2 linked regions of the Arabidopsis thaliana genome follow. The protein of the gene in region 1 interacts with the protein of each later gene in a pairwise test. Each region holds a gene or a part of one and is shown on either strand. Other genes may lie near its edges.

Evidence for each region. The genes of interacting proteins can lie anywhere in the genome.
Region 2: the proteins of AT5G47590 (region 1) and AT3G55605 interact in a two-hybrid assay, tested with the Arabidopsis thaliana proteins (one large-scale study listed by BioGRID).

Annotation. Positions count from the first base shown.
Region 1 is NC_003076.8:19,297,273-19,301,026, reverse strand, and holds AT5G47590 (Heat shock protein HSP20/alpha crystallin family), read left to right. Parts: upstream 1-1,852; 5' UTR 1,853-1,927; coding exon 1,928-1,982; intron 1,983-2,256; coding exon 2,257-2,634; coding exon of another isoform or gene 2,635-2,720; coding exon 2,721-3,082; 3' UTR 3,083-3,413; downstream 3,414-3,754. Other genes in the region: AT5G47600 (HSP20-like chaperones superfamily protein), read left to right, coding at 571-625, 742-1,082.
Region 2 is NC_003074.8:20,620,617-20,624,370, forward strand, and holds AT3G55605 (Mitochondrial glycoprotein family protein), read left to right. Parts: upstream 1-1,990; 5' UTR 1,991-2,051; coding exon 2,052-2,306; intron 2,307-2,661; coding exon 2,662-3,023; intron 3,024-3,113; coding exon 3,114-3,273; 3' UTR 3,274-3,435; downstream 3,436-3,754. Other genes in the region: AT3G55600 (Membrane fusion protein Use1), read left to right, coding at 66-152, 232-299, 504-576, 822-937, 1,023-1,124, 1,285-1,384, 1,549-1,725; P5CS2 (delta 1-pyrroline-5-carboxylate synthase 2), read right to left, coding at 3,662-3,754.

The sequences.
Region 1 (3,754 bases):
GTATGGGCCAAATACACAAGTAACTAACATATACATACTTGTGTTTGCTATGGTACCCAATGATTCATGTCATTTGTTTTCACAAACTTTTAACTCTTTTTTTTTCCTCTAAGCCGATTGAAACAAATTGGGTCCATTGCATAATTTACCTAAAGCTAAGCTGATATTGAATATTAGTTTCTTCCATCAAATGTCAATTGTTTATAATTCATCCCCCGACAAAACTAAATGGGCCGATTCTTAGGCCCATATTAGGTGGTCACTCCGGTTGTGCTAAAAATTGTTCAGAGAAGTCAAAGTCTCCAGATTGATGTCAATTGTCAACACTCTACAAGATCACTCCTTTCCATGGAGTTCAACTAGAAGAGCTTTTCGATCAATTTCACCAAATCAGAAACAATTTCGAATTTTTAACACTCCTTGGGCCGATTAATGGGCCAAATGATAGGTCACTCCAGGCCTTTCCCAAACCCTATAGTCCTCCTCGGCTATAAATAGCAAGTGGAGTAGAGCGACTTTGCTCACTCAGTTTCCTTCCAAAAGAAAGAGAAAGAGCATCGTTTTGAGCAAATGAGTAGGAACATGGAAGTTAACGCAGGCAGTTCCGGCGAAATTCCGTCTCCAAGTAAAGTTTTCATCTTTCACTGTCATTTCTTATAAAAATCAAACCTTTATAGTTTACACGTCAAATCTCTCTTTCTAATAACGAATTTGTGTTTGTTTTATCTTATGTATGTACAGTAAGGAACCGATTTCAGAAAAGTGGGAGTCAAGCGGTGTACGAGGTGACAGAGACGAAGAAATCTTGCGTGACGAGAGTCGACATGCCTGGTTGTCCCGAGTCAGATCTCACCTACTGGGTCGACGCCAACAACGTCCACTTCTTCGCCGACGAACCAGCAATGCCTGAGTACGAAAACGCCGGACGCAAATACGGAGGCTCCATGATTTTCAACCCTGAGGCTTACGACGTCAAGAAAACTAAAGTGAAGCTTATCAACGGAGTGCTCTGGATCACCGTCCCTAAGATCCCAGGCAAAAACGCTTCCATTAATGTCAAGGAGAGGATCCTCCATTACTGATTTAACAACACCTTGGTTTGTGTCTCGTAATGGTACTTGTGTCTAGCGTCTCTATCTATCTATGAACTTTGATGCAGCTACTGCTTTATGTTTATCATTTTGTGGTTTAGTTAAGAACGATCTTGCTTCTATATGTCGTGATCTCAATAAAGAAAAAGTTGTCAGCTTTCTTTGTTCTATTTAATCTTACATTAACCTAGCTATTCGATAAGACTATATAGATCTTTGCCATTATTAAACCGGATTACGAGTATGTAACCTGGACATGTTAATAGATATATGTTGTTGTAAGTAGGGATCAAACTTTTTAATAGCGTTGTCGTAATAATTGGATAAACACTAAACGACGGTTGAAACCTTATTTGATCTTTGATGAAAAAAAAAAAGATAATTGAGAGCTCATAATTTTTTTACTCTTGAAGATTGCTGACGTCAGCGTCGTCTTGTCAAAAATGTTTGAAAATTAATGAAGAGTGAAGAGTGTGGGTACGGTTTTACTTTTGCAGTCATTTTTGTCGTACATAATTACATATAAACGAAAGGAGTAAAAAAAGCGTGGGATAGCTCACAGAGCTGGTGACGTCAGCTTATTCTCTACCGTAAAAAAAATCAAAAGAGTAAAAGCAAGTTTTTTTTCTTACCGAGAGAGAGAGTCGGTGACGTAGGCAAGACCAGTCAAACTTATGCTATGAAGGTTAAAAAAAAGCCAGCTGGAGCGTGCCACGTCACAGTCTGTACCACAAGATGGTGCTTCGTCTATATTTATCAACAGGAGAACAAAACGCCATTTTTACGCAACCTACCTTGAACTAGAAGAGAAGAGAGAGCAAAAAACAAAGAGAGAGATGGGTGAGACAAAGGCAGATTTCAGGGACATGTCAAGAATTCCTAAAGTTCGAGGTATCTCTTTTCACGAGCTACTAGATTTCCCAAGAACAACATTGTTCTAATTTTTCTCGGAAAATATGTGTTTTTTCTAGAAAGTTGTCTCAATTTGTTTACTTGTGAAGTGTTAACATGAACTTGGTACAAAGATTTACAGTTTTTTTACTGTGCATGATTCATGAAAATGAAGCAGATCGAGTTAGTTCCATCTTTGATAAGTGTCTTCCTTTGTTCTCTGTATACTTTTCTTCATCAAGTTTTGATCTTTGTTTACTTATTATTATTACAGAGGGGTTCTACGCGACGAACAATCAGTTTCAGAAAGCGGGTCCAAAGGGTTTCGTTCAAGTGAAGGTTCTGGAGAACGACAATCTCTACGTGCGTGTCGACTTGCCTGGTGTTCCAGACGACGCCGTTCGCTACAGAGTTGACGCCGTGAGACAAAAGGTTGTCTTTTTCTCCGGTGAAACTCTGAACAACGGCAAGGAAGGTGTGCGTCAGTACTCTGGAACCGCTGGGCTTGGCTGTGACTGCTGCGAGATCACAGGCGTGGATGCCAAAATGAAAGATGGAGTTTTGAGGATGATTCTCACAAGGGTCAAGGTTGTGAGCAAGGCTCAAGACAACAACAACAACAAGTGTACTCTCACTGTGCCTCCTTTTACAGGTTCGACTCATTCCTCTTCTCTAAAGTCACAATCTCTTTTGCTGCATCATTTGTTGTTAATACAGTACTCTCTGTTCTTTATTAAGGTCAATCCGGAATACGCTTGGAGGATCATCCGTGTCTGGTGTCTGGTCGCAAGGGAGCACTAATTGGGGTGACAAAAGCGGGAGGAGGGGCTCACTTTGCAGTGGACATGCCAGGTGTTAGTCCGGATGATGTGGAAGTGTATGCTGATGAAAAGGAAATCAGATTCAAAGCTGAGATCAAGGACGTGTATGAACACGATGAGAGCGGTCGAACCTACCTCGGAAGCGTCCAAAGTCCTTTTCCCGCTTTAATTTCGAACAACACCATCGCTTGGGATGCAGAATTTGGTGTTCTCAGGATTGCTGTCATACCTCCTGACGACATGACCACCATCAACAACAAAAGAAACCCTATTGAATGAATGATCTCTCTACCTCTCTTTTAGCTAGTACTCTACTATATTTTCATTTTGGGACATTGACTAGTTTTCTCTGTTTAAGTTGAGACATTGTGTGTGTGAGAGAGATTAGTCCTGCTTTTGTGTTTGCTATCGAATCAAGTGATTCATGTCATTTGTTTTCACAATCTTAACTCTTTTGTTCCCCTAAGCTGAATTCAAAAACAAACAAACTGGATCCCTCGAATAACCTGATTGGTGATGATGATTGCTCAAAACCCCCTAAAGCTGATTCCATGGAATGTCAATTGTTTATAGATCCTAGGACATTTGATCTGTCACTCAACAGTGCCTAATTCCTCAATTGAATCGAAATGGTCATGAAAGGAGTGTGATCATTTTATCAGACAAGTCAAAGTTTCTACTCTTCATCATTATTAACACATCCAGTAACAAAACTAATTGGGCCGATTATTAGGCCCATGATAGGTGGATCACTCCAGGCCTTTTCCAAACTCCACGAAAGCAGGCAGAAACACTTTCTTCCCGTGAGTTTTTCCCGGTTGATCTGCGATTCAACAGTGTCTATCCGAAATTTAGTTGAAATGGTCATAGAAGAGTGTAGTAGAAAGGTTGGAATTTGTGCTCAAAATCGGTCAGAGAAGTCAAAGTTTGCTACTTTTCCAGTCTCTAGAA
Region 2 (3,754 bases), on another chromosome or scaffold:
TTCTGTTACTGGTCTGTGTGCTTTGATCTGAATGTTGTTTCATTCTCTAGTTGTCAGATTTACTGATGATGGGAATAAGCAAAACGGAGATCAATTTGCGGAGATTGCTTTCCGCTGCACCTAACCAGCAAAATCAGTCGAAGCTTATGCATGTACGTTTCTTTTGATCTTCATTATATGTAAACTATTAGTCTCGTGTTTATGTTGATGTATGAAACAAAAAATCTGCAGTATGTTGCTACATTGAGGGAACAATTAGAACAACTCTCCGAAGAAAAAACCCCTGAAGGCCTTCCCAGGTTTACTTACTCTCTTGTTGATTCACCATTGCCATTAAAAAGATTCCTGCTTTTTGGTGTCTCTTTCTAGGATCAAGGGTTAGAGATTTGAACTGGATTGCTTCGTATTATAGTTGTTGTTCTAAAAGTACATGTTTTTTGGTGAAATACCCTTGCAACCATTATGAGAATGTGCTTATTTTCTCCTTTGATCTCTTTGTCCAGAGTTACAAAGGCTAAGGTTAATGAGTACTATGAGAAGATTGAAGCTGTTGCTTCCAAGATAGCTTCTCAAGAGGTAAGTCACCTGAACTAGAAAGGGACACTTCTTTTCACTTGTCTAGCTAGGACATTAGGCTCTTGTTGATATGATACTTTGTTAGTTACTTCCCCAATTTTTACTAGATGTATTGGTCTCAGGAATTAGTTTCAGGAACGCACATTTTGGTTGGTTCCTGCGTAGAACCATTGTTTAGCTGCAAGAATTTTCAAGTTTTACTTCTGTAACTTATACCAAATTTTTGATTTTTGCTAAATTTACAGCCTGAGACAGAGGTATCTGATGAACCCTTTGCAAAAGATTCGACTAGTGGAAGCTCACCAAAAATAGAAGATGAGCCTCGAAGCCCCACTTCGCCACAGCTGAGAAGAAGAATCGTGTACGTGGAATACTAGATTCACATCCTTCTCAAGTTGTAGTAAATTCTTTCTTTTAGTACTTATCAACTTCCTTGATTGAGTTAGCCCTGCAAGTTCCAAGGAGCAAAGCTTTGATGCTGCTGATGCTGATTCATCAAAACCAATAAAACTAGACACCGCAGCTCAAGCGCACATTGACAAGCACAGGTAGATGCATTGATCACCAAGAAGAACTAGGAACTCATTTCTATCTATGCACTTTCGTTAGTAGAGAGAAAAATTTATCGCAAAGAGTAGAGCTTTATTGATTTTAATATAAGTTCAATTTTGCCACTTCATGCCAAGTTGGTGATTCATTTGATGACAGAAAGCTTCAAGAGGATCTAACCGATGAAATGGTGGTACTTGCAAGACAACTCAAGGAGAGAAGTCAAGCGATTAGTCAATCTGTGCAAAATACAGAAAAGGTGAGATGCTAACCATTTCCTCACAAAACCAATTATTCTTACTTTTTTAATCAACAACTATGTAACAAGAGAAGAATCTATATTGGTTCATATATCCTTTTAACCGGCTTCATTGCTCCTAACATTTTTCTTTCTTTCTTTTCTTGTGGATTCATTAACAAAAGATACTTGACTCTACCGAGGAGGCCATTGAGCAAAGCCTAGCGAGCACAGGACACGCGACAACAAGAGCGACAAAGATATATTCACAAAGCTCAAAGACAAGTTGCTTCCAGTGGCTCTTGATCTTCGCCATGATCTGTGTGTTCATAATGGTTGTTCTGTTGATCCGGGTCACATAGAAATTGTTCAGATTGTAATACCAAATTAGTGAAATCCAAAAAACATTTCAGTCTCTTTATCATACAGTTTGTGAAAGTTCTTTTGACTTTTGTAAATTCTGAGTTTTTGATATGTGAAACTATACTTCTAAAAGATATGCCAGAAATCAGTACAATTTGTTTGTGAAGAGGAATTGAGAAATGAAGAATTGTAATTTAACCGGTTTGGTTTGAAGACCGGTATGATTTGGTTAGTATAGTTTGTCTTCTTCGTACACTTAAAAGTTAAAACCCTAAGGAAAGGCCAAAACCCAGAGACTGAGAGAATCCATTTTCTTTTAATCGCCATGGGTTTCGCTTTGTGCATTCGTAGATCAGCTTCTACTTTAGCTTCCGTGTGTGGTCGTGTGGCTCGAGCTCAAGCCGTCTCCGCTATCGTTAATCGCTCGTCTCTTGTTCCCAAGCCATCTCTGCTTCGGCCCTTCGTCTCTCGTGGCTTTCCTTATTCGACGGCCACTGAGCCGTTAAAGTCCGATCAGACGCTTATACAAGTGATTGACTCTGAGATCAAGGATTCTTTCGAAGCAGATGATCACGATGCGGTAATAACTGATCTTTATCACTTGATTCCTGGGAAAATAAACGAATCTGTGGGATTTGTTTTTTTCTTGGTTTTTGATAGAGAATTGTAGAAGCAGTGTTGAAAATTGGACTGAATCTGTGAGTTTGCTTACTCTGTGGAAGCCATAAGCTTTAGTGGGAACTCATGGTTGAATCTAACTGGAGACTTTCTATGCCTTAAATCGCATTTCTTTCAGAATTTGTTGAGTAAAAGTTCATACATTTCGGAATTTGATCATGAACCTGTTTTGATTCTGAGCTCACACAAATTGCATGAACCTGTTTTGGTTATAAGCTTATGAGAGACTACATGGTTCTTCTGGTTATATATTTCAGGATGAAGAGACGATAGACTCTAGTGACTTTCCTTTCAAAATCGAAGATAATCCTGGACACAGGACTGTGACATTGACTAGAGAATACAATGGAGAGCAGATTAAAGTAGAAGTAAGCATGCCTGGTCTTGCCATGGATGAAAATGAAGATGATGTGGATGACGATGAAGATGGTGATGGTCGTCATGAGAAATCGAATGAATCAAGCATTCCACTTGTTGTCACTGTGACCAAGAAGAGTGGACTTAGCCTAGAGTTTAGCTGCACTGCTTTCCCTGATGAGATTGTCATTGATGGTTTGTCTGTGAACCGTCCAGATGATTCTTCTGAAGAACAGTTGACTTATGATGGGCCAGATTTTCAGTAAGCAACATACTGTATATCCCCTCTGTTTTAACCATATGATAACCCCAAGAAAAAACTCATATGTTGTTTCTTTCTTGTGCTTTGCAGGGAGTTGGATGAGAATATGCGCAAGTCGTTCCACAAGTTTCTAGAGACGAGAGGAATCAAAGCAAGCGCAACGGATTTCTTGTATGAGTACATGATGAAGAAAGATAGCAGAGAGTACTTACTATGGTTGAAGAAGCTCAAAACCTTTGTCCAAGAATGAAGGAGACACGCTTAAGTAGAGTAAGAGCTAGATTGTTTTATGTTTGCAGATTTCATTTGTAATGACTTTTGAGTTCACAATGGGGTTTTGAATGTGAAATGCCGATTTGTATCTTTGTCTAGACCACAAATTAGAAAAAATATAACTTATTCTGCATGGAGAAATGATACAAATAGTTGTGGTAAATCAAAGGTTGTGGACATGTATGGAGCTTTTTTGACATGAAGAGAAGCTGCTAAACATTTCACTATTATCAAAGACCACTTAAGTAATGAGATCTTCTTATGATGGTACAAACCTCAAGGAACACTATATCCTATGTAAAAGGGGGAAAAAACTTCAATCATAATTGTAAAACATAATATGACATCAGCAGAGAAAGAGAGAACTAAATTCCATTCTCAACAGCCTCTGTCCTTTGTAAGACAGGAAGATCCTTATGGGTGTAAACGATTCCATTGTCTCCATCCACAACTTGTCC